Arabidopsis thaliana: one gene and its partner. The protein of the gene in region 1 interacts with the protein of each later gene in a pairwise test. Each region holds a gene or a part of one and is shown on either strand. Other genes may lie near its edges.

What was found.
Region 2: the proteins of AT5G53480 (region 1) and IMPA-2 interact in a two-hybrid assay, tested with the Arabidopsis thaliana proteins (one study listed by BioGRID).

The regions. Positions count from the first base shown.
Region 1 is NC_003076.8:21,710,014-21,725,819, reverse strand, and holds AT5G53480 (ARM repeat superfamily protein), read right to left. Parts: upstream 12,576-15,806; 5' UTR 12,338-12,575; intron 11,813-12,337; 5' UTR 11,805-11,812; coding exon 9,391-11,804; intron 9,310-9,390; coding exon 9,111-9,309; 3' UTR 7,942-9,110; downstream 1-7,941. Other genes in the region: AT5G53490 (Tetratricopeptide repeat (TPR)-like superfamily protein), read left to right, coding at 1,130-1,304, 1,536-1,669, 1,771-2,017, 2,109-2,332; AT5G53486 (uncharacterized protein), read right to left, coding at 3,291-3,416, 3,527-3,591, 3,807-3,863, 3,932-3,998; ACBP1 (acyl-CoA binding protein 1), read right to left, coding at 13,429-13,605, 13,692-13,789, 13,871-13,962, 14,166-14,254, 14,377-14,479, 14,866-15,323. UniProt on the Arabidopsis thaliana protein: Acts as a negative effector of drought tolerance. Involved in the regulation of stomatal closure and in the abscisic acid (ABA)-mediated pathway that lead to drought tolerance.
Region 2 is NC_003075.7:9,129,251-9,144,091, reverse strand, and holds IMPA-2 (importin alpha), read left to right. Parts: upstream 1-6,676; 5' UTR 6,677-6,957; coding exon 6,958-7,182; intron 7,183-7,270; coding exon 7,271-7,459; intron 7,460-7,544; coding exon 7,545-7,676; intron 7,677-7,791; coding exon 7,792-7,977; intron 7,978-8,059; coding exon 8,060-8,223; intron 8,224-8,310; coding exon 8,311-8,389; intron 8,390-8,746; coding exon 8,747-8,875; intron 8,876-9,030; coding exon 9,031-9,158; intron 9,159-9,266; coding exon 9,267-9,642; 3' UTR 9,643-9,644; exon of another isoform or gene 9,645-9,767; 3' UTR 9,768-10,342; downstream 10,343-14,841. Other genes in the region: AT4G16146 (cAMP-regulated phosphoprotein 19-related protein), read left to right, coding at 749-811, 900-947, 1,042-1,104, 1,199-1,261, 1,412-1,429; AT4G16141 (GATA type zinc finger transcription factor family protein), read left to right, coding at 11,199-11,372, 11,801-12,220; AT4G16140 (proline-rich family protein), read right to left, coding at 14,552-14,841.

The DNA of each region.
Region 1 (15,806 bases):
AAAATTGACAGGCGATTATTGTAGGGTCCAAAACCAAGAGAGGCAAAGTAGTGATCATGTAAAGGAGTGGTTGAAGGAGAAAGATGTTGACGTTACTTCCACAAGAAAGATCTTCCAATGCCTTCTCCTAAGATCCTTTTTTCAATTTAGGATTTTGTATTGATAAATTTCTAACGTAGTGATTATTGATTCGTTGATTATGTGTAATTTGAGTCTCTAACGTGTAGATGAGTTTGTTATATAGCTTTGTTCTAGATTTGATTTCCACTTATTATAAGAGACAAATCAATAGATTGTAAGAGCTCTCCACCTCAAAGAGAGGCTCCGGAGATTTGTAGCTGTAAATTTTGTACAGAGTAAAACTTGTTTTCTTCCAAGTACATACAGTTAAAAAAAACTAGAGTTTGTGGTGTAACATGAATTACAAGAATTGTTGAAACTTGTCTTGGCGATTTACCCACTCTTTGACTAAGCAGTAAAAGAAATCGCAAATATATGAGAACACATAGTAAATGATGATCAATGAATCTGAAAATTTTCTGATTGACCAAATCGAGATAAGGTAAGAGTTTGTGGTTGAATGTTAGGAAATTGTTGTGTCAAACAAATTAGTGTGTGCAATCATGAATGATGGTTTTGTGCTCTAGGGTTTTAACTTTTAATTGACCTAGAAGGATCCGATAGACTATGGAAACAAAAATCTTACTAATAATATTCCGAGTGTATCTTATAAGATAACCTTACATTTGTAGAAGATGTTCTCATACTAATCAATTTTTTTAATATCTTTTATTAGCTTACACAAAATAAATATAATCATTTATTATTTAAAATCGTTTTTAATGTAATAAATACAAATATAAATTTTATTTTAACATAAATAAAAATATATAAAATAAAATATTTACTATTAAGCTATTAATTACGTATTTAGCATGGTAAATCATATATTTTGCGTGGGTTAGAAGTCATCAATAATATACTGTAGATGTTTAACCGATGGGCTGCACTACTTGATATTATATCCAAAACCGATGAAAGATTTACAAATGGACCAAATAGTAATCAGGCCCAATGGGCTAAATCGTATATAGTCTGATATTATGATCTGTCATGCCACGTCATAGGCATGATCCATAACGAATTGATAAAACTCTATGGTTGTCCAAGTTCGAACAAAAATCTGAAACACACTTCCATGGCTTCGCTTCCTGTTCAATTCACGAGGAATCAAATCTCTTCACCGTTTTTCTCTGTAAACCTCCGCCGTGAGCCTAGATCTTTAGTAACAGTACACTGCTCCGGTAAATGTCATCTTTTTTCTCTCTGCTTTAATTGGTTTTTCAAGATCTCTCTGCTACTTCTTCTTGGTTGTACGGTTCTTCGAAATTTCTAAGTATTTTCAAGAATCTTTAGCTTTACCTTCAATGAATTCATCTTTATAGATGGGTTTATGAATATTGTTATGTCAAAATCTTGCTTTTAAAGTGAAGCTAAAGTAGTGTATGTGATCTTGATTTGCATTATGTTCTCAGCAGGAGAAAACAGAGAAAATGGTGAAGGTGTAAAGAAGAGTCTCTTTCCTCTTAAGGAGCTTGGATCTATCGCTTGCGCAGCTCTCTGTGCTTGCACTCTTACAATAGCTTCTCCTGTTATTGCTGCTAACCAGGTCTGTCACATTATATGGCCCTTTCTCTTTTCTATGTTTGTGTCTGAAGATGGCTATGTTTTAGAATTTAAAGAAATGGATAAATGGATTGTTTTTTTCAGAGACTTCCTCCGTTATCAACAGAACCAGACCGGTGTGAAAAAGCATTTGTTGGTAACACGATAGGTCAAGCAAATGGTGTCTATGACAAACCACTGGATCTTAGGTTCTGTGATTACACAAATGATCAAACTAATCTCAAAGGCAAGACTCTCTCTGCAGCCTTGATGGTTGGGGCTAAGTTTGATGGTGCAGATATGACTGAAGTTGTTATGTCAAAAGCTTATGCTGTAGAAGCAAGCTTTAAAGGTATATAGACTTAAATCTTGAAATTTGAAAGCATATGGTAAAATTATGGACCAAAATGTTAATTAATGTTTTAGTGTGAATTCTTTTCTAGGGGTGAATTTCACTAATGCTGTTATCGATCGGGTGAATTTCGGGAAATCGAATCTGAAAGGTGCGGTGTTTAGGAACACGGTATTATCCGGTTCGACATTTGAGGAGGCAAATTTGGAGGATGTGGTCTTTGAGGACACTATCATTGGTTACATAGACCTTCAGAAAATATGTAGGAATGAGTCCATAAACGAAGAAGGAAGACTTGTGTTGGGATGCCGATAGAGAAGAGAGAAGGTTTTGATTTGAATGTATTATATATGTAAGATTTAAGATTTGTTGACACAAAGATGTATGAAACTAAGTAAAGGTTGAAGGATAGGAGTCAAGAGAGTTATGAGAGGTTGTATAATCGATTCTTGTAAATTCTGTAACCAAACAAAAGGCGTTTTCTCTGTTTCTCTTCAATAATTTACATAGACATATTTAAGTGTTAGTATGTGAATTTTATGTATGCTTGTGAAATATGTATAACCATAGTAACTAGTCTTCGCTATAAATATGTAAGAGAAGAGACAATGAATAAAAGCGCATCTGGTGTAGTGGTATCATAGTACCCTCCCACGGTACTGACCAGGGTTCGATTCCCTGGATGCGCAACTGTTTTAATTTTATATTTGTTTTTTCATTTTAGTTTTATATTTTCTTTTTTTAAATCAACCATTGCAATCTTGTTTCATTTGTACTATGTTATTGTAATAGCGACATATAAGGTTTTAGCTATGATAAGCATAAAATCTGTCTTCATTTCTTTTTCGTTTAGTGATCATGCTGATAAAGAGTTTTTTACTATGTGTTTGACTGCATAAGATTGAAATCATCAACTAATGTGAAATATTGTAGAAGACGCATTTATAATAATACTATACAGAACTAAAAATAACCATAACACTTTATTTATTTTCTGATATAACGATTACACAGGATATAATGGCTATATTATATATGTCAATGAAATAAGATGATAATAAATAAGGATTTATTATGTCTTGTTATTAGACACTAATCCTTTCACTAGCGGGTTTCCGAAGGGTATTTTACACTGAGCTCATCCTCAAACAAAAAGAGTCAGAATGGAGGATACATCACATACATATTCATATATGATATATAGATATTAGTGCATGTGCTTATATATATGCTACTATATATATAATGACAGAGATAGTTCTGTGTTGATGATTCAACCCTTGCCTCCGGGCCTTCTCCTTGGGTCGTGTTTAGGGTTGGGTCCTGCGTCGTCGTAGTCCGCTGTCGAGTGGAACATCAACTTCCTATGACCCATCTTCTTCACACCCACCTCCTCACTCTTTTTAATTATAAACACATAAATTCTTGTCAATATTTGGACATTAACAACATTTCTAATGTTGATAAGAACATATATAAACGTAAAGCATCTACATGTATGATGTATACCTTGTAAAGCATGGAACTCTCATGCATCTTCGCACCGTCGAGCTGGATAGAGCCTTCCACTATGGCTAAAAGAAAACACTCTGTTAGCGGAATATACATTGTTCTTTAAGTGACTTATTTATTTCAACCCATACTAGTTAGTTAGATGTGTTTTAATTTTGGAGAAAGAATGGAAAAAGTGTTCACCAATATAATAGTAATTAATAATCAATGGTATTAAGGTAGTTTAAGGCACTAGATTCAACAACGAAGAAAAGACTAATGTTCAACAAGATAATACCAAAAGCTGATCTCGGACTAAGATGGATGTGTTGGGACGCAAGGTTGATAGTCATCCCTTAAAACAAAGTTAAAAGACTATAAATTGAAAAGGATGGAATATATGAATATCAATTATATGTTTACCTAATGATGAAGAGCATATAATGAGAATGAGGAAGAGTAGAGATAGGGGTTCAATCCTAAGAGGCATATTATATGGTTTTTGATGATTACTCTTTGTTCGTTTAGGGGAGAGAATGCAACTAATCAATGGAAAATGAGGACAAAATGGATTTTCATATGAGAAGATGGGGAAGGTTAGTTCCCATTTTATAAACGGTCAAGTTAATGTGGTGGAAACTGTTATGGTCCATGTATAATATTAGTCGTAATGGTGATGATGATGACTATGACAATGATGATGACCATGACTAAGATGGTTGGTTCTGTTTATGACAATGAAAATATGTAAAGCTCTTATCAATATAACTTTTTAAAATAAGAATATCACGTAGATATCGATTTTTTTTATATATCACAAAACAATTATCAAAAAAAGGTGAAAACAGTGGTGAGACTACTAACATCAAAATGGTGATGATAGTAGCAAGAACAAAAATGAGAAGAATAAGAAGTTATTGGGTTAACGCAATGAACCTACAGGCCACAAACCCTAGAAAAGGTTGAAAAAGTCAACTTAACTGTTGATTGTGTTACATCTCCCAAAAAGGAACACTTAACGCTTACCTCTATTTATGCTTGTGGACAAAAATCGTATATTAGCTAGTAACCTCACTTTTTTTCTTAACACACTTTTCCTTATAGCATGACATTGTTCAAATTTCAAATTCTGTATATCGTTTTTATCTTATGATTATGTTAATTAGACCGTACTAGATATACTATAGACAAAAGTCACAAAACTTTAACTACCAAACAAAAAGTTGACGTTTCTTTTAATTAGCCTTTTTTTCTTCTGGCAATCAATTTTTGATGATAGATAAATAGTTTATCTATATTGTTAATTTGCCAGATAGGAAAATGTAATTAGGAATAACAAGTTAAATCTGAGTATAGATTACTAACTGTAAATGTTTGTGAACCAAGTGAAGTGGGAACCATCAAATACTTGAATTAGAGTAAGTTGTGCCCTAAGCCATCCGAAAGGTTATATATGTGGATCAAATCATAATGAAAAAAGGTTTGTTTGATGCAAGAAAAGTGACCTAATTCATTAACTTGAGTGGAAGTTCATCTCTTGACCATATAAATTTTCATTATATCCTTTGAGTTTCATTAAAAAAAGAAAACATTTTTTTTTTATTTTACAATTTTAATCGGTTTGATCTCAAAACACTCTCTATTATACTAGTTCTTATTTCTAAGTGATGTTTCATTTTAGATGATTTTAGTCAAAACCAATATATTTTCTTAAAGGAAAAGTTTCATTCTGGTTACATGATCGATTTTAATCTAAGTTTTAACTTTTAAGCCCATTGTTTTCACCACTTTTTCCCATACAGCTGTAATGTATCATAGGTTCGATGAGTGCAGCACCACGTGTGATCTTAAGTCTACTTATTGACGCAAAATTTTATTGGAAATTGAATTCTGCTAAGATAATTGGGTCCATTATCAAAAGTAAAGATGGAATCATACCAAACTCGTACGTAATTATTGTAAGTTTTCAATGCTGTTAATGAATCAAAACGAAAGCGAAGATTTGTATCAAGGGTACACACTTTTCAAACAAAGACCCTACAAATACCCAAACTTGAACACACTTATTAATCCAATGATTATTTTCAAAACCTTTTAATCCAATTTCTGTTTGAAATTTTGGTTGTTATATTTAAATACACCATGTACAGTTGACATATTAGAACAAAGATCAGTACTAGTAAATTAAAGTTTAAATGTGGAATCAAAACATTTTCCTTGCGGTCAATGTAAATTTTACAGGGATCAAAATAGATAGACTAAGTTCAGTAAACTTCGATCACATAAACCAACATGGTAGGCAACTCCTAGACAGGGGAATAACGTAAGTAATTAGGAAGTCAAAAGATGGTTAGGGCAGATTTTAAAATCCGTGGTACCAAACACTAAATAATTTGATACAAATAAAGAGAAATAGTGGAACTAATCCTTCCATTTCGGCCTTCACAACTTTATAAGAAGTCAACTAGGATTGAGACAGACATAGCGAGTGGCCTGCAAAATGTATCAGAGAAGTGCATCTTTTTAAGTGACCCATTATTATAGTGAGAGACCACTATCCCCCAAAATCTTATTTTACAATTAATAAACATCGTTCCTCATAACATTATGTGTTTTGACCTAAAATCCATAATTCTACTAAATCCCAAAAACTAAAGAACTTTTACCCCCAAAAAGTCACCATATGAATGGTTATACTTATATATATGTGTGTGTGTATTGCACCATAACCCATATATTTTAGATTAGAAGACTTTATAAATCCCCTCTATAGATCCTTTCATATAAAAAAATGGTTTCGCACTTCAACTTTCTTAACTGGTTAATTATTTCCATCTTAAAATGTTTTCTCACAACCTCCAAGTAAATATCTGCAGTTTTCTATAAAAAATAAAATGAAACAGATTCTTTTTCAGCATCTGAATATGATAAAAACTAATATAGACTACACGTACATTAAACCAGCTAAACTGCTTAAGTAGAATCGTTGTACTATCTAAAACATTATTCACTTAACAGTTAACACATGTACGTGCAGCTCTTCTGTCCGAAGACTATGCATGACTTCACAAAAAAAAAAAAAAAAAAGGGAAAGTTCGTGAGTAGGGAAATAATCAATGTGTCGGCAATTATATGTTGCGTTTAAAAGGAGTGATGAATAAGAAACCAATGAGCCACTAAATTAGCAATGTTTTATTGGGCAACAACGTACGTGTCTTAAGTCTTAACTTCTGTTGTCCAATGTCAACTACACAGAAAGACGACGAAACGTACATCTATTAGTCTTTGACAAAAAAAAAACGTACGTCTATTAGTTAAAAAAAAAAGAGAACAAAAACACAATTTCAATACTAACATAGTTTACAACGCGAATAATAAATCACGAGACACCCACAACTAATAATTTCACTACTTTTCTTAAATATTTCCTTCGTTTTAAATTTTTAATATACAATTCATCTCATAAGTGTAGTTTTTTTTTCTGTAGAAGACGGGAGACTAAAAATTATAAGAAAAATTACAAACTTACTTGCCTTAGGCGCACATACCCAATAACATCATCGCTTAAGAGCGTATCAACATTAGAAGGAACAACATCAAAAAATGAAAGCCATCAGGCAATGAGAACGCATAGTTAGATCTATAAATGTAGTTTGAACCAAAGTTCTAGTTTTTATCCATTAAATTAGCTTATATATTAGGTTTTCGTTGTCCTACTAAACGAATTAATTTTCTTAAAAAACATCCGTTTTTTTTTTTTTTTCAGAGTTTTCTTTAATGGCGTTCATCTTCTAAGAAAGTATTTACTAATCATTATTATTTTTAAAAATGTATTGATCCGTAACCTTAAGGTAAAATGTGTTAGATAATAGCTATTGAAAGAAAAATTGGAGTTATTTTTTGTCGCAAGAAGTTCATGCTTTAATCAATAATTATGTTTCTTTTGACTAATAACTTGGATCGTAAGATTTTCTCCTTTTTTTGGCAGTTTCAGCTGACGACGCTCATATATCTTTCGGTGCTATTTCAGTATTGCATTTAAAGACTAAAGGTAAAGTTTAAAGTCGCAAAATAAAGTATTAACGCCGTAATGAAATTATTTGAATATGAAAAAAATCGTCGCGGACGACAAAAATGTTTTTTTTTTTTGTGTGTGTATCAGTGTATGTGATATATGTGGGTGTGCTTGGACAAGTCCTTTGACAATAAAAAAGGCCCACTTCGTATTACCACCATTCTTTTTCAACTCCCAATTTCAATTCAGAGTGGCGTGTCCTATTTCTCTTGGATGTTTAGCCATCATCTATCTTTTATGTGTTTTATTGTCCATTTGAGTGAGATTTAAATGGGTATGTCATCACAATGAAAAAAAAAAAAATACCAACAGAACCAACGTTTCTCTCGCCTAAATCATCAATTCGAAAAAGATATGTCGAATGAATTATGACATTATATATTTAGTTCAAGAGAAAAATTCTCGAGACGTCAGAAACATGGTTTGGGACTAATACATAGAACCGAGAGAAACTAATTTAAACCATAACTTGAATGGTCTAGAATGTTTCAAATACACATGAAAACATTTTTCAAAATATAGGTTCGGTATCAGTTGCATTTGGCGTTTGGAAAACCAAAAAAAAGCAACACATACAATCAAAATTGAGGTTTCCATAAACAGCGTGAATGTGAAATGTTCTTCGATCTCTTAACTTGACTCTTTGGAAGCAGAGTAAGGCAGGACGTTTTCTCCTATTAACATGTGCCCTTTCCCATATAGTTCGAGCCAAATCAAATAATGGATTCTAAACGATTGTAAACAGTTCCATAGTAAAATGAATAGATGTGGACCTCTTTAAGACCCTAAGACATGACACCATATAATAAAAATGTTCCTGTATGTGACATTTGAAACTTGATTGCAAACAAAACACAAGTATATATGCAAAACCCCCTAAACTGCATCATAGCAAAGAGAAGATAGACAGACATGTGAAACTTCTTTATATAAAAATAAAAATGTGAATAATGCTTTTAATCAAACATACAAACCCCCCCAAAAGACAAAATGATGATGCAAAGACTGCAACTAACCAAATAATAAAAGAAAACAAAAGAAAAAATCAAGGGATTGTCCTCTAATAATGCCCCCACTTGATAAAAACCTGAGACCTCTCCCTCCTCAAGGGGTTGAAGAACATATGAGAGAAAAGAAAAAACAAGAATGTATTATGAGATGTTCCATGAAACCTTTTTTTTTTTGGTATAACTTTGTCCCAAAACCCACCAGAAAACGACCATGACTCACTTCCTCCTCTTTCTACTCCCGGGGATTTAACCTTACCCGGGAAACTTTCACCCGTGACTCTTCCAGTTTCATTATTTACCCCAAAACTCATCATTCCCCACATCCACGACTCAACGATTCCCTGACTGACCCCAGTTATGCTGATGATGCAAATGAAACTGATGCTGATGATGCTGATGTGACTCGGATGTTGCAGCTCTACCCCTCCCCCCGACCGACTCAACCCACCCAGAGATGCATGCAGACTTTACTAAAAAGCAAAAGGAATTTTCTTTCTTATAGGCAAAAGAAGAGCCTTCAAACAGATATGGCACGGGTTATGGCATGCTTCGCCCATTCGGCTGCTTCTTTAATTGTGTGGTCTTCAGAAGACAAACATTCGTTTAAGAACTCTTTACTTGACACTGACTGTTGTATCAAACCACCCACATGACTCCCTAGTGTATCTGCTAAATCTCCTAAGACCCCAATCGCTGTCTTCATCACCACCTCGTCCCTGTCCCAAGGCAATTTTACCACAAAATTAAACAACTGCTATGACATAATAGAAATTCAGTTGGGTCGTAACCAAACTTACATGTCTTTCTCCATGTATATACTGTCCAAAAACTGGAGGATATGGGGTGCGAAAGGAATCAGGAGCTGGGTTTTGGCGGAGTTCTTGAAACCTTGAAATATGCCTGAATAAGCCTCAAGGATTCCGTTTCTCAATGAGTTTGTGTACTCCGTCATTTCATCATCAGCTCCAGCCGAGTGAGCAGATAACTCTGCGGCACTCTGAAGCATCGGCATTGAATACCTCCAGTACTTATCAAAATCCTCACCGATAGCAAGTGCTATGTCACCAAAACAGGAGAATATCGGTGGCTTCACTGATCGGTGCAATTGGTTGCTCGACAAATCTTTCAGAAGCTGTGTCATAATCCCATCGCAATAAGGTAAAATCTTGTCCTCCAATGCTCTGCAGACATCCCCAACAACACCAACAGTAACAGCACACACTTGGTATTCTTCAAAGTTTTGAAGACCCATCTCCAAGTACTTATAAAACTCAGGCATGTATTTGGCAAAATTGGGACCTGCTGCATAAGCAAGAGCACCAATGGCAAGCATGGCTTCCTCATGTGCAGTTGCACTTCTACAACCAAACACCCTCAGGAAAAGTCCCATCATTTGGTCTGCATACTCCATGAACTTAGACTTGGTTGGTTCAGATCCTAATTTCTGTATGATGACCTGCAAGCATCCACATAGAAGTCCCTGCAACTCGTTTTGTTTCTCCCTCTCATCCAATGAAAGCTTTTCCCCTTCCAAAGTATTGTGAAGCTCCATCATTATCACTGGTACTAATTGCAGAACCATGGTAGACGTTTCATCAGTTGAACACCTGACAACTTCATTCAATGCCTCATATGCTGCAGTCCGCAAGCGTGATTCAGTTGCATCCTCTCTGTGTGCAACAGCTAAAAGTGACTTAATAATTTCCTGGAAGAAGGGTGTTAACGGAGAACTGGGACCGATATCCTCATAGCCTTGAGCAAGGAAGTACAGAGCCCCACAAGCCTTCTCGGCAACATTAGGCGCATCATTCATGCTCTGGATGAGTACTGTGATTATCTGCTGGCAGTTTGCCTGATTAATAATAGGTGTCTCGATTGTTGAACCATGAAGGAACTCAAATATCCGACCAAGGGTCCATGCGGTTGTGTCTTTCACATGGTTGCTTGGGTCATTTGTTAGAGCATTGAGCATAAATGTTAACGCTGCGTTAACAATTGCCATCAACTTATCGGCAGAAGGGCCTTCCAAAATGGAACCAAAAGCATAAGTTGCAGCTTCTCGCTCTCTCCAATCAGGCTTTGATATTTTCTCTTCAATAAACGGCATGACATGTGGAACAATGTCATCTCCAACTGCCCTAGCAACCAAACCGAGGCATGTCCCACCTGCCATTGCAATATTCCAAGCCCCTTCATCCAAATCTTGATCTTCTTCTTGCTTCAGAAGAGTCTCCAGCAGTAGAGGCACAAGACCAGGGAGAGCCTGCTTAGTAAAATAAAAGCATGGAACATCAGAATCCCCAGCGAACTCACCACCATATTCTTCTAAGATGTCAATCTCTTCGTCACAAATAGAACTCCAGAACTCAATTGCCTGTAGAGCAACAGACTCGTCATCTTCTCTTACAGCCTTAGCTGTGATGTTGAATATATCTTGCATGTAATGCGCCAACTTCTCATAGTATGTGGAAGCGATAGATACCAAACACTCAAAAGCTGCCTGCCTAATTTTCACCTCAGGGGACAGGGTTGCTTCACACACAACTCTCATGATATAATCACGCTCCATGTCGTTGTTGAAATTTGCTTGGGCGAATCCGAGAGCCATGTATAAAGCACGGGTTGCAGCAAGTCTAACATCAGTATTACCTTCAGCAGCATTCATACCCTGAACAACAGCTGTGAGTATCTTATTTACATGCTCCTGTTCAACAACATCAGGTGACACTTCTTCACATAGGTATCCAAGAGTCTCCAAAGTGGCTTGCTTGACATGAGCAGGTAACTGGTGAATATTTGAGAGAAGAGACACTATGAGCTCAGGCCACTGCTTCTGTGGTAACTCAATACCTGCAACCTTAGCAATGACCTGAGATGCAGTCGAACGAACATCAGGCACAGGTGCCGACAGTGTCTTCAACAAGAAAGCTCTGATCTGCGACTTTGTTGACATGTCTAGAGCCAACCATCTCTGAACAAGCTCATACTTCCTGTGTTGTTCCTTAGCATCAAGAGCATTTTTAAGGACTAAACCAGCTAATTTCCTGCTATCTACTGGCTTCTCATCATTCGCAAGCTCTCCAGCAAGCGACAACAAGAAACCCGCAAGGTTTTGCTCCTGAAACTGCTTAAGACTTTCTTCCGCGTGCTTACGTACAGTTCCATCAATCGACTGAGCATTAATGAGCAACTGCGTAACCTCCATTGCCATAGGTTTATCTGCAACAGAAACAAACAGATTCAGCAAAACTGAAAATAAAGAAGAAGTAAGACAGAATCAGTAAATTAAGCCAACAACATGAAGAAACTCGTCAACGATCCAAAAAGCCATAAAGGTGAAAGACTACTAAATCACTATGAATCGAAAAAACCATGTAATAGCAATAAGAGATCAAAGCACGAGCCATTGACGCTTAAAAACACTGTCAGATTCAACTATAACAGCCAGAACAACAGATCCGAGCACGAAATCGAATATAAAACACGAAATCAAACTAGTTACTAAGATGACCAAATCAACAAGTTAATAGAACAAATGAATCTAACTAAAAAATCGAAAAGCAAATCTCAGATTACGAACGAGTTCAAATCATAAAACAGTGAACAAATCGAAACTAAAGTTGGAAATGGATGATTGAACGAATCGAGATCGAATCAGGAAAAAAAAAAAGCGAATTGGGAAGTGATGAATCTGAAGATGGATCTTAGGGAGAAAGTTGAATAGATGAAGTGAAGAAGGGTAACCTAGAATCTCGGCGGCGGCCGATCGGATAAAGCGGAAATCGGGGACTGGAGAGGACAAACCCTAGAAGCCCAGAAGGAAGAGAGAGAGAGAGAGAGAAGAAAAAAATCAGTTCCAGCGAAAAAGGGAAGAGAGAGAGAGAAGAGAAGAGAAGAATCGGATGTGAAGATGGACTTTAAATTTTATTATTAAACTTTTAACCAAATATTTATATAAACAAATAAAAAAACTGTTTTGAACACAAATTATGTAAATCTATTAATTTTGAAATTGTTTTCCAAACTTATATATATTTGTACTCAATTGTATATTTAGGTTTTGTTCAGTGTATCCTAATATTTTTATAAAAACTATATATAGGAAAATATCTTTTAAAATTACCCAATTAAAAAAAAGTTGTATAAATCTTCTAAATATGAAAATTTGTTTCCAATCATAATTGTTTGTTCAGTGTATCTTATTTTTTTCAAATAAAAACATAAATAGAAAAAAATCTGAATTACCCAATATATATATAAAAAGGGAAAATATTTTTCTTTATGATTTTTGCACACTAAAAATATATTTCTGATTAAAGAATTGATATAATCTGGAGTGATTATGTCGTACATCGCGTGTTGGGTGGTCCTTATCTGAACCCCACCTTATATATTCTCATCGTTAATTAATCAACGGTCCGGATTGTTTTACAGCGAGATGCGAAGAAGAAGATTTTTTTTCTTTTCTTATTCCGAAGGTACAATTTGTATCATATTTAAAATACTTATAAATTTTACAAGTAATCAACAAAATTGTTTTACAGGTATGATAATAATGATTCAGATGGCTGAAAAAACATGAAAGGGTCACGAACGAAAGAGAGAAACATTATACTAACAAAAAAAAAACTATTATTGAGTTATGATGATTGATGATGATGATCTCTCTGGGTTCAATATAGTAACCAATAAAAACTAGAGCTACTATATCATATGTAACTTGTGTTGTTGTATGTTAAAACATAAGCTTAAGAGGAAGCAAAGAGGCTCAGAGGAAATGTAAGAAAAACACAAGCATCTAGCTTTGACACACAATTTTAAAGACTTAAAAAACACTAATTGGAATCCTTCTTCTCTCGCATCCAAGACCATTCTGATTCACAGAGATCAAGAGGCGAGTTTCCGTCTTCGTCTTTAATGGTTGTATCAGCTTTCTGCTTCACCAGAAACTCGGCGAGTGCTTCTCTTTCGCACACAACAGCATAGTGTAGAGAGGTTTGGCCTTCATTGTCCTGCACAAAGTTTGTCAGCGACAAAAACATAAAAGTCTGTAATTGAGAGAAAGAATTAGTTTAGGGGGTTTTGGTTATTTATTTACTTTAGCATTCACATCTGCGTTCTTATCAACCAGAGCTTCAGCAACGTTAAGATGGCCACGGTCTATAGCCCAATGCAGTGGTGTTCGACCTTCACTATCTGACATTTCCAAGATGGAGAAACTGTTAAGTTTCCAAACCAGATCCGAACATTCTGTGAAAATGATACAAGACTACTAACCTCTTGCATTTACGGGTATGCCATTTTCTATGCATTTCAATAGATTCTCGACTTCTCCTTCTCTAGCAAAGGCGTGTATGGCGTCAATCTTCCTGGAACATGGAGTAAGAACGCAAGAATGAACAGAGCTTCTACTATGATTTAAACTAACACATGATTCTTTGATCTACCTAAGGTGAGTATTATGATATATACATTCCTTCTCTGATCTAGTCAGCTAGTCATATAGAGAAACTGAGAAAAGAAAACCAAAAGTTCATAGATGAATCTGTAACTAATTGCTTAGGAACCTTACAACTCATTGTCAGATTCCTCTTCGTACACCAATGAGCTAAAAACCGGTCCCATGGGGCCTGCAGCCTCACCACTCCGATTTCTTCGTTTCTAATAGTCCGCAACGAAGCAAACAAGCCAAGAAATAAAGACAGATTTAAGAACGAAAACAGACCATCCATAAACAGTCCAAAGAAATGGGAATAACAGAAGCAGGTAAGAAGACAACTAACCGAGCCACCTTCAACCCAAGCTGGGTAAAGCTGAGTAACAAGGTCGATATACTTCTCCATCGCTTCCTCAGGAGGCATAGCACCCAATTTCTGCCATGCTTGCCTAGAACAAAAAAGATCATAACAAATCTCAGTCGATCAAAATGCATCCCTAAGTTACCAATCAACAAAACAACAAAAGCAAATCCTTTCGGTACTCACACAAAGCAAGATACATCCAGGATGAAGAATAATCAGTACATCACAAGTAAACATGATTAAGTAACAATCTTCACAGTCATAAGATTTGAATCAGATCACTAATCAATACACCAACAAAAGCAATCCTTTCCATACATTAGCAATGAAAGATACGAACTTGGTGAAATCAAAATAATATACATCCATGATCAAGAAACATCAGTACATCACAAGTAAACATGATCAAGCAATCATCTTTCACAGTCCCAAACATTTGAATCAGAGAATCAATAAGAGTGTTAGACAAACCACTTGGCACGAGCAGTCATTTTAAGAGCTGATGGTTGAGGAGCAGTACAAGGTCCTTCAGTAGCAATTTTATACAATCCATAAAGCTGAAGTTGCAACTCATTAGAAACTTTCTGCGAAAGCCTATCCGATGCAGCAGCAGCAACAAAAGCCGTAGCAGCACTAAATGCCTCATCAAGTTCTGTACTTTCGACACCTTCCCAATCATCATCATCTGATTCATCTTCATCACCTCTCAAGCTACCTTGCTCAGCTATAAGAGAATCAGTCTCGCCGCTAATCCCAGTTAAAGTTTCGACCTTTCGCAAGTTCTCATACTCCGATTGAGTCGTGTGGTTACGAGTGAGTGAGAGATTCTCGTCTTTAAAAGCGAGGAGGATAGAGATTAGCTTAGCGAGAAGGTAAGCGAAGATCAAACCAAAGATTATAGACTGTGCAAGCTGATACCAATCAGCCATTTCCCCCAAATCGAATAAGAAAGTAAACCCAATAGAGATTCAAACACAACGAACTCGAAATCTGAGAAAATGAACCCTAAATTTCAAAGAAGGGTCACAATAACGCATCTCCAGAAACAAAAAGGAGCCACCTTTTTGGAACTCTTGTTTTCACCGCTTCACAATTTTCTTTTTCTTTACTTTTTTTTTGTTTTCTCTTTGTGGGCTTGTCTTTTGTTGAAGACCAGAGACAACTGAGGAATTACACGTAGGATTGAATGGTTGCGACGAGAGACAACTGACGAATCCGTTTGTTAATTGGACCGCTTTTCATCTACCAACTGGTTGGGACCGAGAAAAAATGAAGAAATTTGTTGGAGACAAACTACATACCGGTTTTACATACCTCAATCTTCACTGTGTAATTGAAGATCATTTTTTTCACTATTTTACTGAGCAAGTCTTATGATTCCTAACATTGTTTACAGTTTACACCACCATAAA
Region 2 (14,841 bases), on another chromosome or scaffold:
TAAGAAAATATGTTGACTACAATTGAACATAATTTTTTATTTAGAAATTAATTTGATAATTTTAAGTTAAGGTCGGATTAGTAGTCAACAAGTCAAAATAATTGTGGTAAATTACCAACCTAATCGTCGGCAATTTAACAGCGGCGTACACGTTTGGTTTCATAATACTTCTATCATTCAAACACTGTTTTTGTTTTAACATATTTCTGGTCAAAATTAAATATAAATGGATTTGATTACTTATTAATTATCAAATTAATATTATGATTTCTAATCTTAATTGGGTTGAAGATTTTTTATTTTTTATTTGTCGGGTGGAAGATATTTCTGATAGGTATACAATATTTTTTATGATAAAAAATCTTATCATAAGATATTTAATGAAACGGACGGTCGTAAACGATAAATTCATCTTCATCTGAACCAACTACTAAATCAACGGTTTATTGTACTGCCACGTGATACGTTTGATGACACATGTGTTCCCAATCCGGATCTTCGCCTTTGATATGTGATCCGGTCCACATGAAATTGCCGATTTCGTCTTGGTCTATGCATTCTCATTTTTTCCTAATTTTGTTTTCTGTCCGATTGTGATTGGTACAATGAACCTCTTTACAAAATCCGGATAATCGGTTTGTCAAATTAAACCCTTTTTGTTAACCTATAGTATGCATACCGGTATGGAAATTGCTTTCCGGTTTTTGTATTTGTCGGTTTATTTTGGTTTGTATTATTTTGTCCTTAGTCTACTTCTGGTGCAAATAAATACGGAGGACTTGTGCCAAAGAAAAAGCCTCTCATCTCTAAGGTGAATTTATCTTTAATTATTTTGTCATTAGTCTACTTCTGGTGCAAATAAGTAGTTGTTAATATTCACGACTTTAAAATCAATGCAGGATTCCAAACGTGCTTTCTTTGATTCAGCAGATTGGGCTTTACTCAAGGTAGCTCAGTTTGTGCAATATATCTAACTTTAAATCTTTTACATATGAAAACATTATTGTAATTGTTTTTATTATATATTTTGATATTCTACAGCAAGAAGCAAGTATAGATCAGAGAACAATAGCGGCAATAGAAAAACTAAGACCCAAATTGCAGGTAATGTTTTAAATCTACTTAGACCAGTAATTACATATAATTAGTACTCTTAATTATTTCACCTAAGTTTTGGTTCATTTGGTGCTAATTTCAGAGAACGCCTCGCAAGCAACTTTCTCCTAGGAGACCCACATGTGCGACGGGAAATGAGAATCTGGTAAGAAAATAGGTTTTTATTATAATTATTACTATTTTGTTCTTATTCTTTTCTTTGTTTTCTTTCTATTTTGTATTTTCATAGTATATGTACATGCAATTTAGTATTTTAAACATGTATTTATAAAAAAAATTGTTATACTTTTTGCAGACAGAGTCGAGCTTTTAGGGTACAATGAAAAGGGTTTGACGTGGAAATGGAACGTGATTGGTTTGGTAGCCTACTCACGTGTTTCATGTTTCCATTAAAAAACTTGTATGCAGTTATTGACAGTTGTTCGGTTATTTTCACTATTGGTTCCTAAAATGCTTGTCGTTTCAATAAGTTGCGCAGACAATTGTTGGTGTGTTCTTTCTTTTTCTTCTTCTCCATTCATAAACCTTGTGGTGTTTAGTTTTTCCTTCAACGAGAAAAAGAAGATTAAAAATCTGGTAAAACTACTTAACATAGGCAAATTGGAGTCAACGATCATGAAATAGTTTATAATTAGATGAGAGGCTAAACAATTGATGTGTAGCATGTACATTAGTTTCATATGTTCAATAATCACTAGTGATTATGCGTTCTTATTTTTACGTTTTGTGGCTGAGTCTATGCTTAGTTAGTAGCTGAAATAATAAAAACAGATTGTTTCACTTTCACCGTGGTGGAGGGTAAATACAGCTTGAATAGAATTATAGAAATATTGTCATTTTCTAGCTAAATATGTGCAACTTCATTACAAGTTCGATTAATATAGGTGAAGCGAGTAAATCAAGATTTAGATGCCTAATATCTGATTTCTTTGCACAATTTTTAGTTACTGAAATTTCCTCCTCCAATATTTCTTAAGTGTCTTGGTTAAGACTTGACAATCACCCTCAAAATCTTATCCACCCTATGTTCCATATGTTTTGAGTTACATTTAACAAGGATTGCTTCAGCTTCTAGTGGTACTAAATTTTACCCTAGAAACACCAATACTTTGGAGTCCATAATGATCACAAATTTTTGTTATAAGTACTAAGTAGCAACAATCATAATTGACTGAAAAACATCTTTGGCATGTTTCATCCATCTTTATTCCACTTGATATAATATTGCAACTCCACACAATTCGATCATCAGCTGGTTGAAACCACTTAATAGTTCCATAAGATATCATTCCACATTGAAAATTTCAAATATACCCCTAAAGTTATAAGAAAATGTCGACATTGCCCAATATGTTTCGACTGATTTTTTTTTAACTTGGTTTGGTAATCATGTCGAAATTGCCAATTGGTTTCTTAATAAACGACGCAGTTTTAATTCTTCTCCGTCTCTTACGTTTTCTCAGCGCCATTGATCCTTCGATCTCAGCAAAACTTTCGCCGGCAAAGTGATTTGAATTCGTGAAGCACTAAATTGTATAATCAGATACGGTGAGATGAAGATTGATCTGAACAAGGTGGCTCGTGAAATCGAAGTGGATAATCGTATTCCTCTCCGTAATTACTACCGCATCGCCGATAATCTCCTCCGACAGGTCTGTTCCCGATATCGCAACGGAGTTTCGATTCAATTTAACTCTAGATGTAGATTCTTAATTCATGTTAAAGCATCTTTAGGATTTGACAAGTTTAGAAACTGGAGAATGTAAACTTGGTATTGATTTTGTTAGGTTTAGGTTATCAATTAAAACAGTGATTGATTTCTGAGAAAGTTACAAAATCAAATGGTAACATGTTTGAACATTGCTCAGGCCAGTATATATCGCGAAGAGAAGAATGTGGTGGATTTGTATATCATGCTTCTTAGATATTCAAGGTAAGGATAAAAGTATCTCTATATGTAGTTTTGAATTTTTGTATGTTCCATGAAAGAGCTACAAGTTTTTTTTTTTTCTGCAGTTTGATTTCTGAAACAATTCCTTTCCATCGAGATTACCAGGCATCGCTTCCACAAGAAAGACTTGGGAGTAGGAAGGTCAGGTATTTCTGTTTTAACCTTCGAATGTTGTTTAGTGTTACTAGACTTAGTAGTGTCCTCAGATTTGGTCTTTTTTTTGTGCTACAGAGGTTGCGTGCTGTAATCAATGAGCTCGAGTCTCTGAAACCGGAATTCAACCAGCTAGTGGATAAGCTGAACAGAGTTGAGGATGAATCCCGTCAGGATGGAAGTGATCTCCCGGTCGTATCATATAGTTCAGATGCTGTTGAGTGGCCTCCTGCTCACAAAGCTTCATACTCCAGACCTGATATTAACAAGGTAAGACTTGGAGTTTGCATTGAGTACATAATCTAGGATTTCTATATAATCATTGCATCTTCAAAATCCATGTGATTTCTTACCAGCAATGCCTTTTCCATTTTTTTTGTCTTCTCTGGATGCAGCCCTTACCGACATCTCAACCATCCTGGACGTATAACAATAATCTGACTTCATCATCAAATCGTACACAGATTGATCAGCAGTTCCAGAAGCTGTGAGTATTCTCCCTTAATATAATTGTCGGTAATTCTGCTTAATAGGAATTCAAACACTATAAGCTCTCTGAGCTTTAGGAACCCTGAGAAATAGGGGTATGCCATCCGATATGTGTCACTGGTTTTCTTGCTTTACATCTACCTGTTTCTGTGATCACCATATATATACGATGTTTGGGTCACTTATTAGTTATTACCAGAAAAACTACCATTCTGATGGACTAAACTGCCAATGCTGCTTGGATTTTCTATTTATGGTATCATGTTTATTGGTTGCGTTTTGTGGAATTCTTCTTTGGTTTTGGGATATTGAAACAAGAAATGAGTCTATGAGACTCAAGTGCTACTCCATATTAATCTGGGATGATCATTGAGACTTTAATTGTGCTCCTGAACCTGCAGATCTTTTGATTTCCTGCCTCCAAACCAAGCAACCTTGTCAAGACATTCATTTCTAGGTCCGAATGGTCTTAAAAGGCAAATGGTTGCACCCAAGTCAGAGATAAAGGTATAGTGCTGATCATTGTTACCTTTCTCACATTTTCTCACTCTTTCTTTTACTCTTGGTCCAATTCAATGTTTAATTATCTTAGATCTGAAGGAACTGAGAAAAATCTTTATTTTGTATGGAATGATAGGTTCAATATCCGAGTAATACAGATTGGGGTTCTGCGGACAATTCAGGGTAAGTACTCATCTTCTGTTACCTTCTAAGCTTTTCCTTAAAGAAGTCATGGCTATTTCAAACTGACTCCATGTATTTCTGCAGTTTAATTGAAGCTGGACCTAGCAGTTCCTCAGCATCACTTAATGGTGATTCTCAAGAAGTCTCAACACTGAACTCTGTGCTCTCCTTAGATGATGGTCGATGGCAGCGTCATTCTGAGGCAGTAAATTCCCAGTTTATTAGCGACGCAACTGAAGACCCGTTTCAGTTTGTCGGTATGAAGCAACCTTCCCCTCCTCCCGTGCTTGCTCAAGTGCATCAAGAGTTAGCCCAAATTTGCCCATCTAAAGTAGCTGATCCTAGACCAGGACCTGCAATTCCTTCCCTAGAAGGAAAAGAGGGCAGCAATTCTTATCAGCATTTGCATGTGGTATGTTCCAGCTGTATCTTCTTTCACTTTTGTGCAGTTTCCACCAATTCCATAGTGTTTGTGAGAGTAAAGTGGAAGGGATATGCATATCAAGTAGAAAATTATCCATGATTAGTCTAATTATTTGGTATGTGTTCAAGAATCAACACATTAAATCATCGAAGTATTGGATTCATGACCATTACAGCTTCTTAAAAGCTTGCTAGAATCGGTTCTGGAAATCTTTCTCTTTCACCTCTTCTTAATCTACTACTAATGTTGTCACCCTTTATTTAAATTTGCTGAAGCCTGTGCGCATAATGGATGATTTCCTAAGGCTAGCTCGGTCAAACACAGAACGGAATTTAGAAACTTGTGGAGTACTTGCTGGTTCTCTGGTGAGTAGATGGAACCTTTGCATTTATAATTTTTGATTCCAATATCATGATCAGCTCGCCATTACTTATATTCTGTCTATTTGCCATGTTTACAGAAAAACAGGGTTTTTCATATCACTACTCTCATAATCCCAAAGCAGGAGTCTACCTCAGATTCTGTATGTTCTTCATTTTTCTTAACCATTTACATCAATAACAATCTTTTTAATTCTCGCTGGTATGCTTCTCACACTTAGGTTCATCATCATTTGGGTAATGTACAGTGCCAAACACTAAACGAGAAGAAATATTCGAGTACAGGACAGACTCTCTCTATTTCCCTTGGGTTGGATTCATGTAAGTTCTCTCACCCGAACTAAAAAATCTTCCATTTCCAGATAATGACTTACCAAAACGTTACTCAGAACAATTGTGAATCCATATATCCACTAGTTGATAAGCTTTATCGATTCGTCTTGCTAATTTACATTTTGGTTTCAGACACACCCTACACAAACTTGCTTCATGTCATCAGTTGATCTACACACACACTACTCGTATCAGGTAACAAACTCCCCTTATCAATATCTCTATGTTAATCACTTATGATGCGATTATAGTAAAACCATCATCTATATCTATTGTCCCAGATAATGCTACCGGAGGCGGTGGCAATCGTAATGGCACCAACAGACGAATCAACACCTCATGGAATATTCCATCTCTCTGATCCATCAGGCGTATCTGTGATCCGAAACTGCCAGCAACGAGGCTTCCACCCACACGAAGAATCAGAAGACGGTAACCCAATCTACGAGCATTGCTCACACGTCTTCCTCAATGCCAAACTCAAATATGAAGTCCTCGATCTCCGCTAAAAGCCAACCTCCATCACCATGTTATTATTTTTCCTGGAGTCTTAACTTTAAAGAGACATTAAAAAGACCTCAGAGATCAGATGTCTCAGCCGTACATATATGTGTATACTTCTTAAAAAAACCTTCTCTTTAAAGTTCCAAACTTGGCTGAGCCGTCTTAAGTAATGATGATTGTGTTTATTTATAACGAGTACACTTTTAAATTCGTATGCACCATTTCACAAAGCCAGATGTTTGATTAAAAAAACATAAGTATTTTTTTCTGACGATTTTTTCATTTAAATTAAAATTCATTATAGTCTGTGGGAAAGACCTGATACCATGAAAGTTGAGGTGAAAATCTGTTATTAGCTTTCATCAGATAAGAACGGAGAGAGAATAACAGATTTTCACCTCCTAGATAATGCTACCAGAGGTACTTGCAATCGTTATGGCTCCAACAGACGAATCTACCCCAATATATGAGCATTGCTCATACGTCTTCCTCAACGTCAAACTCAAATGCGAAGTTCTCTACTCTAAACTTTCTTAAACGAATATAATATACTTTTAAAATTACTTTCACAAAACCAAGTTTTGCCAAAAAAAAAACTGTATTTTATTTTAAATTAAATTTAGTCGGTGCGAAAAGACTAATGAATAAACAAGTCAACTTAAGTAAATTAATGGTCTCTGTATCGAATCTTAAAATTTAGATTTACCAAAATGTTTTTGTAAACCAACGAAATTCAATCTTTCTCTCTGTGCCTTTTTTCCTCTTTTCTCGTTCCCCTCTACTTCATTTAGGGTTTATCATCCTCTACCAATCCGCCGATTCTATACATACACTTTTCATATATATACATACATCGTCTCCACTCTCGTTGGCTCATTTTTCATTCACCGCCACGAAGCAAGAGGAGATTCGTATTAGCCACCATGTCTTTGAGACCTAACGCTAAGACTGAGGTTCGCCGGAACCGCTACAAAGTGGCGGTGGATGCTGAGGAAGGAAGACGGAGGAGAGAGGACAACATGGTCGAGATCCGTAAGAGTAAGCGTGAAGAAAGCTTACAGAAGAAGCGTCGTGAAGGCCTTCAAGCTAATCAGCTACCTCAATTCGCTCCTTCTCCTGTTCCTGCTTCATCAACTGTTGAGAAGAAGGTAATATTACTAGCGATCTGGAACCGTTTCCTAGGATTTGATTGGTTTAGATCGATTCGATTTTGATTTTGGTTTTGGTTTTGGCTAGTTGGAGAGTTTGCCTGCTATGGTTGGTGGTGTTTGGTCAGATGATAGAAGTTTACAGCTTGAAGCGACTACTCAGTTCCGGAAATTGCTTTCTATTGAGCGTAGTCCTCCGATTGAAGAAGTGATTGATGCTGGTGTTGTGCCTCGGTTTGTGGAATTTCTCACTAGAGAGGATTATCCACAGCTTCAGGTTTGGTGGATCGTTATGTATCTGTCATATTTTGCTAGAATTGTCTTCTGATACTAATTACTTGTGTGTGTGTGTGTGATTTCAGTTTGAGGCTGCTTGGGCATTGACAAACATTGCTTCTGGGACTTCAGAGAATACAAAGGTGGTCATTGAACATGGTGCTGTTCCGATTTTTGTTCAACTATTGGCTTCTCAGAGTGATGATGTCCGTGAGCAGGTAAGATATGTGTTTATGGTTTTTTCTCATGACTCAATATACTGTCAATTTTGTTTGTTTTCGGGAACAAGCATGTTCTAAAGCTTGTTTGTTTCTTAATCTTTTCATGTGTAAGGCTGTGTGGGCATTAGGGAATGTTGCTGGTGATTCTCCACGGTGCAGAGATCTTGTCCTTGGTCAAGGAGCTTTGATACCATTACTCTCTCAGTTGAATGAGCATGCTAAACTCTCGATGCTGAGAAATGCTACTTGGACCCTCTCTAATTTCTGCAGGGGCAAGCCACAGCCTCCCTTTGACCAGGTTTGTCTCTCATTCCTATCTTAATCTCTGCCCAAAGATGAAGGAGTTTTTCTTTTTAATTCTTGTGATCTCTTAATAACAGGTCCGTCCAGCACTCCCAGCCCTTGAACGCCTGATTCATTCGACTGATGAGGAAGTGTTAACGGATGCATGTTGGGCTCTCTCTTACCTTTCCGATGGCACAAATGACAAAATCCAATCTGTCATTGAGGCAGGTGTTGTTCCTCGACTCGTCGAGCTTCTCCAGTGAGTTTCAAATCCCATGATTTCACCGTGCTTTTGTATAATGAATGTTATGTGTTAATGAATATTATCAATTTTATTTTGCTGTAGGCATCAATCACCATCTGTGCTTATTCCTGCCCTTCGTAGTATTGGTAACATTGTCACTGGAGATGATCTGCAGACACAGGTATGTTTGTTCTTTTATAGTGTCATTCATTCATATTATTCAGGATACATGGTCCAATACTGATGGGAAGAATGAAATACACTGGCTAGAAAGCTGAATCTGAGTTTGTTGATAATGACATTTAGTTGTCAAAAGTTACTTGTCAAATTCTTCCTAGATGAATCTCTAGAATGGGAACTGTCAATTCTTCCCAGATTTTATTTCCCCCCCTGCATGTTTTTTACCCTAGTTATGCAATACCTAACATTCCTTTTGAATAGTTAGACTAATTTAAGGCAGTATGTATAATACTCTTAAGAATCTCACACATGTACCATTCCTCACTTATTTTGCTTTCTTTTTTGGTTGGTTCTACAGTGTGTAATTAGTCATGGTGCACTTCTTAGCCTTTTGAGCCTTCTGACTCACAATCATAAGAAGAGCATCAAAAAGGAAGCTTGCTGGACAATCTCAAATATCACTGCTGGAAACAGGGACCAGATTCAGGTGAACTTTTGCTAAAGATTGTTGTTTCTGCTCAGCTTATCAGTTTCTCATAAACTAATCACTAATGTTGGAAGACATGTTTCAGAAGCCTTTTTGTTGTTTGAAGAAAGATGTTCTGTGTGTTTATGTTCTCTAATATTGTTGTGGTATTGCAGGCTGTGTGTGAAGCTGGTTTGATTTGCCCTCTTGTCAATCTGCTTCAAAATGCGGAGTTTGATATAAAGAAAGAAGCTGCGTGGGCAATATCAAATGCCACTTCAGGTGGTTCTCCTGACCAAATCAAGTAAGATTATCCGATATAAACTCCATGTTCTGTTGATCTCAACTCCTTTAGAATCTTTGTTGGTTATTTTTCAAACAGTCAATTAAGTTATTCCGTTGTGTGTTTTAGGTACATGGTGGAACAGGGAGTCGTGAAACCACTGTGTGATCTTTTGGTGTGCCCTGATCCAAGGATTATCACTGTGTGTCTGGAAGGATTGGAGAACATTTTGAAAGTTGGGGAAGCTGAAAAGGTCACAGGAAATACCGGGGATGTAAACTTTTATGCACAGCTGATCGATGATGCTGAGGGATTAGAAAAGATTGAGAATCTGCAGAGTCATGACAACAGCGAAATCTATGAGAAGGCAGTGAAGATTCTTGAAACGTACTGGTTGGAAGAGGAAGATGAAACTTTACCACCTGGTGATCCCTCTGCACAAGGCTTCCAGTTTGGAGGAGGTAATGATGCAGCCGTACCACCAGGTGGATTCAACTTCCAGTGAAGGTAAAAAAACCTCACTACTTGGGACTAATTTATCTAAGCATCTAAGGCTAGACTAGCAAACAGAGTAAATCTGCCTGTGTGTCTACCTTGTGTGAATCTGTGAGTCTGGTTTTGCTTCCACAGGAGCTGAACATGACGATTTGAAGAGTCGAAGGAGCTTAAAGAGTTTGGGGGCACTGGTTAAAAAGGGTATGATTAGAGAGTCTGGTCTTCTGTGTAAAAGTCAGATGGGGTGCCTTACTTAGTCTGGCCTGGTCCGGTCAGATCCAGTGGTTGGTGGGTTTGAGTCATGGAATAAGCTTGTTGGGGGGGAGTTGGGTAGGAGTCATCAAGGGATATTTATTTTTGGGAAAGGGTTTATAAGTTTTTAAAGTGTGATCTGATGAGAATGTGTCTCTCTGGGTTTTTGTTACATTTGTACTACACAACACTGCAAAGTCAAACATAAAAAAGTTGGTCAAACTTTATTTGGTCTTATTGGTGACATAAAAGCCCAATTGGTTCGTCTCTTTATTGTTTATAGTAAATGTTTTTTTTTATAATCTATTTTAGTGCGGTCCAAGTCATTTTGGGCTATTGTCTACATATGCACGCGTATCTAGTTTCAACATATTTCCATTAATCGATGTTATTAATGGTTATCGTCAACTTCAAGTAGGGAGGGTTTCAATAATAAAAAAATCCTATGTTTTGTTCAATCCCTGTCGTTTATAAGCGTAGGTATGCCTTGGACCCAAAAGAACTCAAATATTCATAAGTCGATTACACAAATTTAAATAAGATGAAATTGACCAAAAAGAGAGATGTTTTGTAATTTTCATACAAAAAAAGTTGCACTACACGAGCATGTCTTCGATATACCTAATATTATTACATAAATTTTTCGTATTTCATTGTGAAGAATTACACAAAATATCTAAAAGACTGGTAAAAAATGCATGCATATCTCTAAGCCCAATTAGGGAAATCTAACGTGGCAAACAACCACAACGAGTAAATCCAATGTATTTCGTGCGCCAGGTTTTGAATTAAAATTTCAAATTTGGTACCAAAGCAAGCAAGATACCAAAAAACCCCCTTCCACAAGATCTTTGTTACAAGTTGTTGTTGTAAAATGATTTTCCCTCTTCTTTTTTCAGTTTGTGGTTGTTTTATTTTTTGGCGGGTGGTTCTATAGTAATAAAACACCGCGCTCGAGGGTAAAAAAGTAATTAAGAAAGAGAAATCTAGGGTTTATTAGTCCCCGCCTCCTCCTTTATTATAAAAACCCTCTCCGTTTGTTTTATCCGTTATTCTTCTGCGGCGTCTCTCTCTCTTCCTTATCATCATCATCTTCACTCTAAACTTCACAGAGAGCCATTCAAGCAGAAGAAGAGCTCTTTGATCCTTCTCTGCCATTTCCGTTACTCTCCTTTCTTCTGTTTCAGAGTTTTCTATTCTTCTCAATCCTATCTCGCTTCGAAGTGGATCAATGTGAGTTTCCATGATCGTTTTTGATCCTTCTCTTACTTGTAGTTGATGATCACGTTTAATAATTGTCTTTTTCTTTTGTAGATGTCAATGACGGAAGAAACCAAGACGACGAAGCTCGAATCGGCGGGAGATTCGTCCGATGTAGACAACGGGAACTGTAGTAGCAGTGGAAGTGGAGGTGATACGAAGAAGACATGCGTTGATTGCGGAACAAGCAGGACTCCTCTTTGGCGTGGTGGACCTGCTGGCCCTAAAGTAAGGATCATGATCTCTCTCTACCATTTTCTTTTAAACCCTTAAAAATCCAAGCTTTAAGGTCTCATGTGTTAGATCTAGTCAAATAGGTACTTGAATCCACTTAAAATGTAGGTTGATCTTGTGTGCTTAGCTCTGTTGCTAGTGGGTTTTGTCTCATTGATGTGATCATGTGTATACATAGTCTAGGTATGCGAGGTTTGTGTCAATCTGTGGTTGATATTTAAATTTGTTATGTGATCTCTATGTTTTGTTTTGATTCTGTGTTTGAAGCCTTATTACTAATTGATCAGGTTAAGATTATTGTTACACTGTTTTTATGATGCCTTTTTTACTAAGAGATGGTTATGTCTCTTTAATTTTAGATCTGTTTGATGATTGTTCACTATTTGTTCTCTGGTCTGATCATGGATTGACTTTGTTTGCAGTCATTGTGCAATGCGTGTGGTATCAAGAGCAGAAAGAAGAGACAAGCAGCTCTTGGAATTAGACAAGATGATATTAAAATCAAGAGCAAAAGTAATAACAATCTTGGTCTTGAGAGCCGAAATGTCAAGACCGGAAAAGGCGAACCAGTTAATGTTAAGATTGCCAAATGTGAACCGGGAATTGTCAAGATTGCCAAAGGTGAACCAGGAAATGTCAAGAACAAAATCAAGAGAGATCCTGAGAATTCCAGTAGCAGCAATAATAACAAGAAGAACGTGAAAAGGGTTGGTAGATTTTTGGATTTTGGGTTTAAGGTACCGGCGATGAAGAGATCGGCTGTGGAGAAGAAGAGGCTATGGAGGAAACTTGGGGAAGAGGAACGAGCCGCAGTACTTCTCATGGCTCTTTCTTGTGGTTGAGATTTTGTCTCTTAACCCTTTTTTTTTGATGTGTCGTAATGGTTGAGTGAAAGAGATTAGGGAAAATAAGTTAGTGAGGAAATGATGAAGAGAGGATTATTAATCCTACTTATCATATATATTAGTTAATGTAATTTTAGAGGCAAGCTAATGTTATATGCCATCTACTAATTAATTATCGTATGAACTCTGGTTTAGTTGATTAATGATCATTTCTTTGAAGTTGAATGATTTGTAATATGTCTCTATTCTTAATTGTTCGCTTAAAGGTGGCTTAAAATGATCTTTTATTAGTTCCAAAATTGTGAATTTTAAGGATCTTTTTGTCACTACTACTCGCTAGTAACGATTTGTTTGAGTAAACTCTAATGGTCAATCAATTGATAAAGAGTCTTTTATTTTTAAAAACTATTATGAATTAGAAAGGAAACCTAATGTGAATTTTGAAAATTTTGCTCCAAAATAAAGTCCAGCTGTTCATATATTGGATATCTCGACCTCCACGCGATCTTGAAGCGCGTGATCTCAGAACGAGACAGCTATAAACAGCTCATGAGTTTTGGGCTTTTCGTTGATGATTATAATAAAAACAGATTTTTTTTATTACAAAAAAAAAAATAAGAGCCGGTGATGGAGACAATTGGGTCTCTCTTCTCATTTTATTGCGATTCTTTTTTTTCTTTTTTTTCACGTCCTTTTTTTTTACAACAAAAGGTTATAAAACATTTTTCTGGCTTCCAAAATTAAAAGATATTATTCTCTTTATATTTTTAGATATTTATTTATTTAATTGGTAAACTCTAAAACGATTATATATAAATTTCTCTAGCATGTCGTCCTGTCGTCTAAAATATGGAAGGATAATAAGAAAATGGCATTTATAGATTAAATTTTGCGGCTGCAAATTCTATGATAAGGAAGAACCATTTTTGTGTATACACTTGCATGCAAATAGACCCACAAATGTGAACATGCTGAAACACAAGCTAAAAACATTATTTGTATATTGACAAAAAAGAAAAAAAAAACATTATTTGTATCACGTTGGAGATTGATTCTGACTTTGAAATATTAAGTAGCAAAATGACTCCAAAATCTCTTTGGTTAATGTAATGTATCTTTTACATAGAAGAAATAATGAAAAAGAAACTCTCATTTTCGTGTAAAGAAACAGATTAAGAGAGCAGATAAAGATTTAAATATATGTTGCTAATGATTTTAGCAAATAAAATAATAATATTAAAATGTGAATTGGTTTATTTTCCACATAAGTTTGATAGAAGTTCAACTATTAACACTTCATCTCGAAAACACTTTTATCATTGCCTAGTTTTGTGTGTCTCTTTGTTTTAAGTTTTTTAACTGAATTAATTTGATACAAAATGTCCAATAATAGCCATTGGTGATTCAGTCTAGTAACTCAAACTGAAATCTTGGTTGACTCCAAAATAGTAATGGTTTGATCTTTATAGTTTTGTTCGTTTAATTTTGGCTAGTGATTGCAAATTAGCAACAGAGGATGTTTGTTATTCCGTTGCTGATTTAGTAACACATTTCGGTTGATTAACAATAATAAAAGAACACTACATTCTATTGTTTTAATCGCTAATGGCCAAATTTCGTTGTCGGAATATCATGTTACTGGTTTATAACAAACATAATTTGTCGTAAACAAATAATGACGATGGAATCCAAAATTGGAACATCAACTTACATCGGATGCTCGTCGAACGTGTAGGCCCAAAAGCACTTATAGCAGTTTGGGGCTTTTCCAATATCAAAGAAGAAAGTAGGACCCAATATTAGCCTCGAGTAGGTTTATATTCAATACAGTCACTTGTGGCTCATGTCCTCTCTACATCATCTCTTTAATATATACTCATTTTAATAGTGTTATACTATTGGTATACTATATGATTATTAGTATAAAAAAATGATGCTTTTTTTTTGTTTGTCCTTTTAACCAAACTATTGCGTCAACTAGTTTGTTGAGATTGGAATGTAAGTACACAAAAGTAATTAAAACCCAATTTGATTATTTTTCTTATTATTAAAAAAGAGAGTTACATTCATTAACACACAAATTTGTTAAAGATAGAAGTACAAATATATTTCTACTTGTACAAGCAAAAGTAGTAAAAAGAAAAATGGAGAAACAATATTCTCATCGTCTCAATATTTGTAGCGTGAAGATCTCTCATGCATAGTCTTGTCTTCTACCTTCTTATCTGCAAAAAATCTCTGCAAGGATCTGAGGAAATGAACCTGTTTGGTTGATATATTAATAAAGCTACTTCTTCCTTTAATTATCTTCTTTAATTATGTTTTAAACTAGAAGCAACCGAAATAAAGAGAGAAAATTAAAATAAATGAAACTCCGTAAGAGAATCTGATCTTTGCATCGGATCCGGACATAACAGATTGCGGCGGAGGGTTGTAATAGTAAAACGGAAAATATGGAACGATAGGGTTTGGAGGCGGTGTATAAGGGTAGTTTCCTCCACTTTTAGGAGGTGGATAGTAGTAGCCACCACTGGAGGAAGAAGGTGGTGGACGGTAAGAGCCAGATTGAGAAGCAGGAGGGTAGTAGTAGTAAGGACCACCACCACTGGAGCTAGGAG